3 linked regions of the Mus musculus genome follow. Each later gene encodes a partner of the first gene's protein in a complex. Links are inferred from orthologs where the notes say so. Each region holds a gene or a part of one and is shown in the gene's direction. Other genes may lie near its edges.

Region 1 (3,751 bases):
TTTGAATTCACATCTTTGAGGAGGGAGAACACACCTTTGTTATTCAAACCTATTCTTGTTATTCAAAGTCAGAAGATGCACCTTCTGCTGGAAACTAAAAGAAAGACATGAAACAAGATTTTCCTCCCTGCCACCCCCAGGACAGGGCTTATCTGTGTAACCCCGCTTGTCCTGGAACTGACTCTGTAGACAACGCTGGCCTCAACTCATAGAGCTTCGCCTGCTTCTGCCTCCACTGCCAGCCTGCTTTTACTCTGCCTACTTGCTCTCACTCTCGTTGACAAGTCCGCTCCTTCACTGTCATTAGCGCCTACTTCTTTGGGATTCTGATGTATAATGAAGACCAACTGAGACATCCATTCTTGTTGACTGAATGCCTACTGGAATTTTGAACCTTCCATGTATACAGCCACATATATACTATTTTAAAAATAGAAATCCAGTATTAACGGAAAAATCTTGCTAAGCCCCCAGGCCTGTGCAATCTTATGCAGACACCTGGGTGGATCTCTAAATCCCTTCAGGTCTACTGACTCCCCAGGGTTCAAAACCCCACTCCTTAGCTTCTTACTCAGGGTGACACCTCACACTGCCACTAAGAGGCTCGCCAGAACACTGCCTCTAGACAAAGCCTAAACATGATCTGAGTGACCGGCGTCGCACCCGGTGGGCGTCACGTGACAGACTCGGCGTTCCTCCAATCGCTGTGCGAGGAGCGGGGATTCCATCTAGTACTTGGCCTCAGGTTTACAACGTCCTGCTCTTCCATTCCCCAAACGGGCCGGCTTTTTGCTACCAACCAGCTAGCAGTGATTCTCAAGTGTTTCCCTTTCAAACAGCTTCAAGGGGCTCGGGCCTATAGCGCACTCAGCTCCGGAAGTGACGTCTCCCAGAGGGGCCGGAAGTGGCAGTGGAGGGAGGGAAGATGGCGGAGGTGGTGAGTCCGGTGCCCGGGGCGGGGCGGAGGGAGCCAGGGGAGGTGGGTAGAGCCCGAGGCCCCCCAGTAGCCGACCCTGGCGCCGCGCTGTCTCCCCAGGGGGAGATAATCGAGGGCTGCCGCCTGCCCGTGCTGCGGCGCAACCAGGACAACGAAGATGAGTGGCGTGAGTGACGTCGGGGGGCGGGTCCAAGGAACCTGAGGGCGAGGGGCGGGAGGGAGTCAACGATCGCACGGGAGGGGGAGGGGCTTCTGCAATCCCGGGGCGGTCGCAGATACTCGGGAGGAGGGGCGTGGCTTTTGGACGTACGGAGATGATCCGGGCGGGGCTTGGAGAGAGGTGTCACTTGGTGACTAAAGGGGTCTTGAACCAGCCCCTCTGAGTGCTGGGACACAGGCCTCCAGCCTGGAGGTGGGATTCAGGTCGAAGGGTGGAGTCTCCTGACCTGCCCTGGCTAAGACTCCCTGTCTGTGTGGTTCTCATAGCCCTGGCTGAGATCCTGAGCGTGAAGGACATCAGTGGCCGAAAGCTTTTCTATGTCCATTACATTGACTGTGAGTCCTGGGCCTGGATGGAGTGGGGTTGCTGGAGAGGGTTGAGGGCAGCCTCTGGCATTCCCTCCTGAGCCGTTTTCACTGCTGCAGTCAACAAACGTCTGGATGAATGGGTGACTCACGAGCGGCTGGACTTAAAGAAGATCCAATTTCCCAAGAAAGAGGCCAAGACACCTACCAAGAACGGACTTCCTGGGTCCCGCCCCGGCTCTCCCGAAAGAGAGGTGGTGAGTAGGTCCCCCATTTCATCTTTTCTCTCCTGCCTCTTCCTTCTTGCATCTCTTGGCCTCAGGGGTTCCTGAATGGGCAGGAGGCAGCATTCTTCTGCCATGGCTTCAGCTTGCAAAGGATGGGGACCAAGTTGCAGGCGTAGCTTCCAGAGTCCAGCACTGCCTTGCTTTAGAGAAGGCAGAGGGTGGGATTCCATGCTGAGGGGCCCATCCCCCCCTTCGCCATCCCACCACCATCCCCACCCCAGAGGAAGACCCTGGACCTATCTCTGCAGCCGGCCTCCGCCCAGGCCAGCGGGAAGACCTTGCCAATCCCGGTCCAGATCACACTCCGCTTCAACCTGCCCAAGGAGCGGGAGGCCATCCCAGGTGGCGAGCCTGACCAGCCGCTCTCCTCCAGCTCCTGCCTGCAACCCAACCACCGCTCAACGGTACCCTCAGCAATTCCAGGGACCTTGCTTTCTTCTCAGGTCCCACCTTCTCTACCTTCTGACCCACCTTTCCTGGTTTCTCTCTGCAGAAACGGAAGGTGGAGGTGGTTTCACCAGCAACCCCAGTGCCCAGCGAGACAGCCCCAGCCTCGGTTTTCCCTCAGGTGAGTCTTCCAGTCTTTTTTCATGTGTCTGAATGTTTTGTCTGTGTTTTGCATGTGTTCTACTTGCATGCCTGGTGCAGGTGGGCAGAAGAGGGCATTGGAGCCACTGAAACTGGAGTTAGAGATGGTTGTGAGCCACTCTGTGGGTCCTGGGAAAAGAACCCAGGAAGTCCTCTGGAAGATCAGGGCTCTTAACCACTGAGCCATCCCAACAGCCTGCCTGGTCTTTCCCCTCTTATTCCTTGCTGTCTAGCATCCTCCTCCAGGATCATCTCACGGTCGCTCTTTCTCTTGTGTCTTGTCCACAGAATGGGTCAGCCCGTAGGGCAGTGGCAGCCCAGCCTGGACGGAAGCGGAAATCTAATTGCTTGGGCACTGATGAGGTGGGTCTTGAGGAGCAGAGGGAGAGGGAAGCCGGGAAAGGGGGAGTGGGCTTGGGCATGGTGTTCACTCGGTGAGGCCTTAGGCAGGGAGGGTGGTGGCTGGGAGCCAAGCAGATGAACCCCTGGGCCTCTTCTACTCTCAGTTTCTCAGCCTCGCTTTATTTTGGAAGTGGAGGTTGGTGCTTTGCCCTTAGCTGATGTTAGACTTGCAGGAAGAAGCCAATGGCAGTGTCGTGCGCCACGCTCTGCTTAACTGCTACCATCTAGTATTTGCCATCTGCCTTGGGCAGGATTCTCAGGACAGCTCAGATGGAATACCGTCAGCACCACGAATGACTGGCAGTCTGGTGTCTGACCGGAGCCACGACGACATTGTCACCCGGATGAAGAACATTGAGTGTATTGAGCTTGGCCGGCACCGCCTCAAGCCGTGGTACTTCTCCCCGTACCCACAAGAGCTTACCACGCTACCCGTCCTCTACCTGTGCGAATTTTGCCTCAAATATGGCCGTAGCCTCAAGTGTCTGCAACGCCACTTGGTATGAGGGGTCTTGGGAGGCTGCCTATCCAGAGTACCCTCACCAGTCCCCACCTGATCCTCCTTTTGTCCTTAGACCAAATGTGATCTTCGGCACCCTCCAGGCAATGAAATTTACCGCAAGGGCACCATCTCCTTTTTTGAGATTGATGGACGGAAAAACAAGGTTAGTGGCTTGGGCACGGCTGGGCTGGAGTGAGTCACATGAACAACCTTTTCCTGCTCAGAACAGTTGACCATTCTGCCTATGAGCAGGTCACTGTTTTTATTGAATTCTTGACACGGAGCAGGGAATGTACAGAAAACTGGGATTTAGAGAAATTTTCTTTCCTGAGAGGTCACTGTCACGGCAGAGCAGACATGACAGCTACTCAGGTTCCAGTAACAGAGGGGGTTCAGCACAGTTCACAGGAAGCTGTCATCAGAGCTTGGAGGTGTGTGTGCCTATAATCCCAGCACTCAGAAAACTCCCGAGTTCAAGAGTAGTCAGGGGACTAATGAGTTGCAAGCCAA
Region 2 (3,651 bases), on another chromosome or scaffold:
GTTTCACATCTTCTCTAGCCTAACTAGGTGAGGTAGCAGTTTGTTGGTAGGGTCAGAGGAGGTAGTCACTGAGTGGTAAGGGAACCAAGTTAGTCCTCAGGGTGATTTCTATGACAGTCCAGTTAGGGTCCAACAGTGCTCATTCCTTGGTACATTCACCAGCCAGTTCGTTTCTATTGCCAGGTAGTGGGTTTCATGACTACAGGGTACCTAAGCTGTGTTTACAGGGGCGTGTGAGGTCAACTGGACAAGCCAGGCGTGTGTCTGTTAGTAAGGATTGCAATTTTAAATTTAAAAGTAGATCCTTGCTTCACATAATTATCTTCTTTATTGGTGATACTTTTATTCCGGAGGAAACCTATCTGAGGATAATAGATACTGGGGAACAAAATGAAATGTTGTATGACTACCTTTGAAGGTTTCTTTCTTTTGGAAATGCTGTTGGTGGCTGTGAGTAAGCCTTGCCTGCCTCCTCACTGCTTCAGGGAGTTAATGACACAACCACTAAGGACCCAGACACAGGAAACGGAACGGGGTCACATACAAACTGTTCATCCTGCCCTGACATCACTGTATCTCAACGAATCTTTAATAAGTTGAGAGAATTTCTTCAGAAGTGTTTTAAAGCTTGGGATTGGGGGTTATGCCCTTTACTGTTTGCAAGCAAAGCCCTAAGCTCTTTTTTGGAACTGTCAGTATTGCAGTTAATTTTTGTGATTGAATTTCTTTGTATGCAGTAATATCCCCATCACCTAGACCTTTAGGATAACGTATTAAAAGGCTTTCAATTTTGTTACTAGATTGAATTTTTTAGATCTCACCATTAATAGAGTTGTAATGTCCTTTTTTCTATTTGTGTGACACTCAGCATGAAAGATTCTCTAATTAGATATTAGCATATCTTGAGCTGTTGTGTACTTACGGTGAATACTGAGAAGTGAGTCTTCCTCCTTAGAGAGAGGACTGCTCAGGATGCAATTGAAGATAGTAACTCTCTACATGTCTGTCTAAAGTGATATGCCAGAGGTTGGCAGTCATATGTGAGGGCCATCTTGTTGGGGGTTGGTTTAAGTGGAGATTCTATAGTGACGTTTAATCCTGGATTGTCTCTGTGTCCCCTCTCTAGGATCTTTGGAATTAGATGCTCCTTCGCAGCCAGTGAACAATCACCACGCTCATTCACATACTCCCGTGGAAAGTAAGTCTGGCTCAAGTACAGTTTAGCACCGTACATGTCACCTGTATGTGCTCTTTTATTAGCTCTACATAAGCAAATGAGAAACGTCCTTTCCTTTCCCTTTTTAAAAAATCGGCTTTTTCCAAACCCAGACACTATTGCATATGCCAGCAAGATTTTACTGAAGGGACCCTGGTGTAGCTGACTCGTATGAGGCTATGCCAGTGCCTGGTAAATACAGAAGTGGATGCTCATAGTCATCTATAAGATGGAACACAGGGCCCCCAATGGAGAAGCTAGAGAAAGCACCCAAGGAGCTGGAGGGGCCTGCAACCCTATAGGTGGAACAACATTATGAACTAACAAGTACCCCCAGAGCTCGTGTCTCTAGCTGCATATGTATCAAAAGATGGCCTAGTCAGCCATCATTGGGAAGAGAGGCCCCTTGGTCTTGCAAACTTTATATGCCCCAGTACAGGGGAACGCCAGGGCCAAGAATCGGGGTGGGTGGGTAGGGGAGCAGGGTGGGGGAAGGGTATAGGGAATTTTCGGGATAGTATTTGAAATGTATATAAAGAAAATACCTAATAAAAGAAAAAAGAAAAACAATAGGCTTTTTATCACAGTTTACGTGTAGACTTTTCCATTTAAGCAACATATATTTAATTTGGGAACAGGAAGTCTGTTCTATCAGCGCAGAAACAGATATAAAACAGATCTAGGGAGTGGTACGACTGACCCAACTATACACTTCTTCATGTAGGCCCATTTCTTTCAGCCTTGCCTTCCAGTGCTTAGCTGATATTTATCATGTGATAAAATCTTGTTATTAGTGAGTTAGTGAAAGGGGATTATTGGTTGCTACATTTTTTTGACAAGTCAATTCAATAGGAAAGAGAGGTAAATTGGAAGCTATTCTAAATGGTAGGCAGTATATTATGATGGACTTTCTCTCGTGATAATGTGAAACCGTAGTACATCGTGGATTGTCTTTAGTTTTTTGCTCCTAGTTTCTAAAGTGCTTGAAATGTCTGTTCTCTCCATGAACCACGTGACAAAGACTGTTTGCTTGTCCCCTCCTTGGTGAGCATAATGGTCCATTTCACAAGGAACCGAGATCATAACTGTACTGATTTATAAAGGGGTGGAAGTATTCCTCTCTGTAGTCCCCTGAAGTTTGAAATTTGTGAATTTTCTTTTTATTCAGAAAGGAAATATAATCCAACTTCTCACCATGCAGCAGCAGACCATATCCCTGAGAAGAAATTCAAATCTGAAGCGCTGCTGTCCACCCTTACATCTGACGCTTCCAAGGAGAACACGCTGGGTGAGTTTCGTTTCTCGAAAGTGGTAATTTGCTTGTTTTGTTTATGTTGGAGTAAGGGATAGAGGAGCGCTCAAGATTATAATCCACACATGTGCTACCTCTGAAGTCTACATGATGATAAGAAGGAAAAGGAAAATTGCCTTGTATTTTCCAGTTGATTCAATCCCTAAAGTATATGAAGAATTTAAATTTAATTTTATATATGGGGAAATAATTTATTTCAATCTCAGAAACCTTATGTACTCTGCAACCATTTTTTTTTCTTCTTTACAGGTTGTCGGAACAATAATTCCACAGCTTCCTGCAACAATGCTTACAATGTGAACTCGTCCCAGCCCCTGGCCTCCTATAACATTGGTTCATTATCTTCAGGGGCTGGCGCAGGGGCCATCACCATGGCGGCAGCACAGGCCGTGCAAGCGACAGCACAGGTAATAGTCGTGGGTAGAGGCAAGTGCTACATTGGTTCCCGTCACTGGCAAACCTCAGTAGGAGCCACTAGGTGTTAGCAGAGCTTTCAGACATCATATAGTTTGAGCTTGAAGTTGCCCTTTTAGGCTAGTTGGTGTTTTAGTAATAATGCAGAGAAGTTATTGGGTATAGAGTGACGCATCATGCCATCACGTTGACCCTTTTCCCAGTTAGTGCACAAGTTACCTTCCTGTCATCATGAGGACAATATCTGCTCTTTCTGTACCATTGGGCTTTTATCTGTGTTGGCTGCAGTTAGCTCATTTCTGTGGTTTGCACATAGTGTGAGTTAAGACATTCTATTTCCCATGTTTATTCTCAGCTTAGCATGAAAAAGACTCTGAATTTTTCCATGACTTAAATAACCATAACGTGTAACACTTAAAGAGAAAATACATATTTACATATATTGATGTTGTCAATACATGTCTACTTAAGATGAAAGAAGGGCGAAGAACATCGAGTTTAAAAGCCAGTTACGAAGCATTTAAGAACAATGACTTCCAGCTGGGAAAAGAATTTTCCATACCCAGAGAAACAGCTGGCTACTCCTCCTCATCGGCACTCATGACAACCTTAACCCAGAATGCCAGTTCCTCCGCCACGGACTCGCGGAGTGGCAGGAAGAGCAAGTAAGTTTCCCATGGCAGTGTGTGTCTTTGTTCAGGGTTGTTGT
Region 3 (3,107 bases), on another chromosome or scaffold:
AGCAGGAAGCTTGTTTTTTAATTCCTTTTCACTGACCATTATTTCTCTTGAAACTCAACCTCTTTATCTTCTAAAGTCACAATCTTAACTCTCCGATGAAAGTCTCACCATTTTACCTGTGGTCTCTTTCTTGCTAACTCCTCAAATACTTTCTTCCCTATCTTTTCTGGAGTTCTATGTATGCAATTCTCTCTCTTTATTTAAACGTTCACTGGTTTATAGTGTATGCTTCAAGCTACATGATAATAAATCTCCATTTCTCTGTTTGAGTGCACTCTCCAGATATAAAAGTCCAAAACTAAGTACCTTTCTCCTCTAAGCAGTTTACTTGTGATACAAGAGCATCCATCCTTAAAGCCTGAAAGTTGTCACTAACTCCTTTCCCAGTTTCTCATCTCTTCTAGCAAATAGTTACTAAAAGAGATCCTTTATGCATGTAACTATCGATGGACTAGCCTTGTTTACTGATGGTGTCAAACGAATTCTTTAAAACTCTGTACTTTACTAAAACTACCCGGGCTTAGTCATACAGAACCCATTTTGACTCTAACCTTTGATCATTGTGTTCCTCGGTGTTAGGTCTGTGTATGTTGCCATCACAGTACTCAAGGCCTACCTAGACTTTACCTCCAACTTCCTTATTTCTTTCAAATTCTTTTTTTTTAAATATCTTTCAAATTCTTAGTCTTGTTCCAAAGTCTTGATTTCATCTCTGCTTTTTTCTATGGTTTTGTCACAGTATCTTTCTCTAAAAATAAATCCTTATCTTTTAAATAGCATCAAGAGACGAATTTGTGGGTGTGTCTGTTGAGTTGTTAGGTGAGGCAAGAGTTGTGGGTGGGAGTGAGGATTTTGAGATAGAAGACAGAAAAGCACTTACAGATGGTCCTCTGCAATAGGACCCAAAATCTATATATATTCCAACAGACTTTAGCATGTGTTGTGGTCTGATGGGTCATTAAGTCACCATAGTAAACAACCAAATACAATACTTTATGTATTACAGTGGTTGGAATAAAAACAGGGTTGAATGAGTTCCAGAAAGCAGGCTTCTCAAACTCGTGGACAACAATCTGCTGAAGAAGACAACTTTAAGAAACCAACTCGAAGCAATATGCAGAGAAGTAAGATGAGAGGAGCTGCCTCGGGAAAGAAGTCAGCTGGTTCGCAGCCAAAGAATCTCGATCCAGCCCTGCCCGGAAGATGGGGAGGTCGCTCTGCTGAGAACCCCCCTTCCGGTTCTGTGCGGAAGACCAGGAAGAACAAGCAGAAGGCTCCTGGCAACGGAGACGGAGGCAGTACCAGTGAAGTCCCCCAGCCCCCTCGGAAGAAAAGGGCACGGGCTGACCCCACTGTGGAGAGCGAGGAGGCATTCAAGAGTAGGATGGAGGTGAAGGTGAAGATCCCTGAAGAATTAAAACCGTGGCTGGTGGAGGACTGGGACTTGGTTACGAGGCAGAAGCAGTTGTTCCAGCTCCCTGCTAAAAAGAATGTCGATGCCATTCTTGAGGAGTATGCCAATTGTAAGAAGTCGCAGGGAAATGTTGATAATAAGGAGTACGCAGTTAATGAAGTTGTAGGAGGGATAAAAGAGTATTTCAATGTGATGCTGGGCACTCAGCTGCTGTACAAGTTTGAAAGGCCTCAGTATGCTGAGATTCTGCTGGCTCACCCTGATGCGCCGATGTCGCAGATCTATGGGGCGCCACACCTCCTGAGATTATTCGTGAGAATTGGGGCAATGTTGGCCTATACGCCCCTTGATGAGAAAAGCCTGGCATTATTGCTGGGCTATCTGCATGATTTCCTTAAGTATCTGGCAAAGAATTCTGCCTCTCTGTTTACTGCCAGTGATTACAAAGTGGCTTCTGCTGACTATCATCGCAAAGCCCTGTGAAGGTCTACTGACCGCTCACTATTGTCTGGTATCTGTAAACACTTCTGTTTAGTCCTTTCATGGTATAATTGATGTTCTTTAAAACTGTCAGTGTAAAACAGGGCTTATGTTTCAGTTTGTTTTCCTGTTCTGTTGTAGACAGAAAATAAAAGGAGTGCCCAGCTCCTTTCCTCATTTCAAAGTTGCTACCAGTGTATGCAGTAATTAGACAAAGAAGAAATTCAGTAGACCATTTTATTGCCTAGTTGACAACATTGCTTGAATGCTGGTGGTTCTATCCCTTTGACACTACACAGTTTTCTAATATGTGTTAATGCTACGTGATGAGATGCCCTGGTTCCTAGTGCCAAAGGTTCAACTTAATGTATATACCTGGAAACCCATGCATTTGTGCTTTTTTTTTTTTTATGGTGCTTGACGTCTGTAAACAGCCCATCCTCTGCAAGTCCATCTTTGTTGTTCCTTAGGCATTCATTCTATCTTTGCTCAAATTGTTGAAGGATGGTGATTTGTTTCCTGGTTTTTGTATTTGAGTCTAATGCACGTTCTAACATGATAGAGGCAATGCATTATTGTGTAGCCACAGTTTTCTGAAAAGTTGATATTTTAGGAATTGTATTTCAGATCTTAAATAAAACTTGTTTCTAAATTTCAAAGCAAAAAAAAAAATGTGTGGTGTTCTTTTTATGTTCCTGAGACTAGCAAATACAGGGTCGAGGTATTTGGGTGGCACAGAAGAAAACTGGCTTTCAAAGGAAAAATTCCTTTCTTGGACCGGAGAGACTGCTCAGCCTGTTCTGTTTCAGAGGACCCAAGTTTGTTTCTGGTAACTCACAAGCACCTGTAACTCCAGCTCTAGGGGATCTGGTGCCTTCTGGCCATCTCAGGTAATTCTGTGGACATGTATATGCCACCACACAGACACATAGTTAAAAGTCAAAAGCTTTTTTAAAAGATTCTTGCTGTAGCAGTTAAGGTCAAGTTATTTTCCCTCTTTGGTGTGGCTTCTCTGGGCAGATTGCTTACACGTGACACTTGGAGCAGCCTGGTTTGTTAGTGATGTTCTCTACTTCTGTGGTTCTGACCTCTACACCAGGATAAGTACTCTTAATTGCCCCTTCTTGCCATTCTTTTATGAGCTATGCCCAGGTCCTAGCCCCAAAGCTTTAATTCTTAGCAGAGGAAACATGGGGTATGTGTTAACTTCTAT

The links.
Region 2: Kat5 (region 1) and Ing3 share a complex: the UniProt entries of both Homo sapiens proteins name them as parts of the SWR1-like complex. The link is inferred for Mus musculus from reciprocal best matches to the Homo sapiens genes KAT5 and ING3.
Region 3: Kat5 (region 1) and Morf4l2 share a complex: the UniProt entries of both Homo sapiens proteins name them as parts of the nuA4 histone acetyltransferase complex. The link is inferred for Mus musculus from reciprocal best matches to the Homo sapiens genes KAT5 and MORF4L2.

The regions. Positions count from the first base shown.
Region 1 is NC_000085.6:5,607,204-5,610,954, reverse strand, and holds the start of Kat5 (histone acetyltransferase KAT5), read left to right. Parts: upstream 1-860; 5' UTR 861-925; coding exon 926-937; coding exon of another isoform or gene 938-1,036; coding exon 1,037-1,103; intron 1,104-1,210; exon of another isoform or gene 1,211-1,423; coding exon 1,424-1,492; intron 1,493-1,582; coding exon 1,583-1,719; intron 1,720-1,970; coding exon of another isoform or gene 1,971-1,997; coding exon 1,998-2,153; intron 2,154-2,242; coding exon 2,243-2,317; intron 2,318-2,625; coding exon 2,626-2,700; intron 2,701-2,990; coding exon 2,991-3,239; intron 3,240-3,314; coding exon 3,315-3,404; intron 3,405-3,751. UniProt on the Homo sapiens protein: Catalytic subunit of the NuA4 histone acetyltransferase complex, a multiprotein complex involved in transcriptional activation of select genes principally by acetylation of nucleosomal histones H2A and H4.
Region 2 is NC_000072.6:21,966,501-21,970,151, forward strand, and holds part of Ing3 (inhibitor of growth protein 3), read left to right. Parts: intron 1-1,126; coding exon 1,127-1,198; intron 1,199-2,384; coding exon 2,385-2,504; intron 2,505-2,777; coding exon 2,778-2,935; intron 2,936-3,413; coding exon 3,414-3,607; intron 3,608-3,651. UniProt on the Homo sapiens protein: Component of the NuA4 histone acetyltransferase (HAT) complex which is involved in transcriptional activation of select genes principally by acetylation of nucleosomal histones H4 and H2A.
Region 3 is NC_000086.7:136,732,401-136,735,507, reverse strand, and holds the end of Morf4l2 (mortality factor 4-like protein 2), read left to right. Parts: intron 1-1,006; 5' UTR 1,007-1,030; coding exon 1,031-1,897; 3' UTR 1,898-2,566; downstream 2,567-3,107. UniProt on the Homo sapiens protein: Component of the NuA4 histone acetyltransferase complex which is involved in transcriptional activation of select genes principally by acetylation of nucleosomal histone H4 and H2A.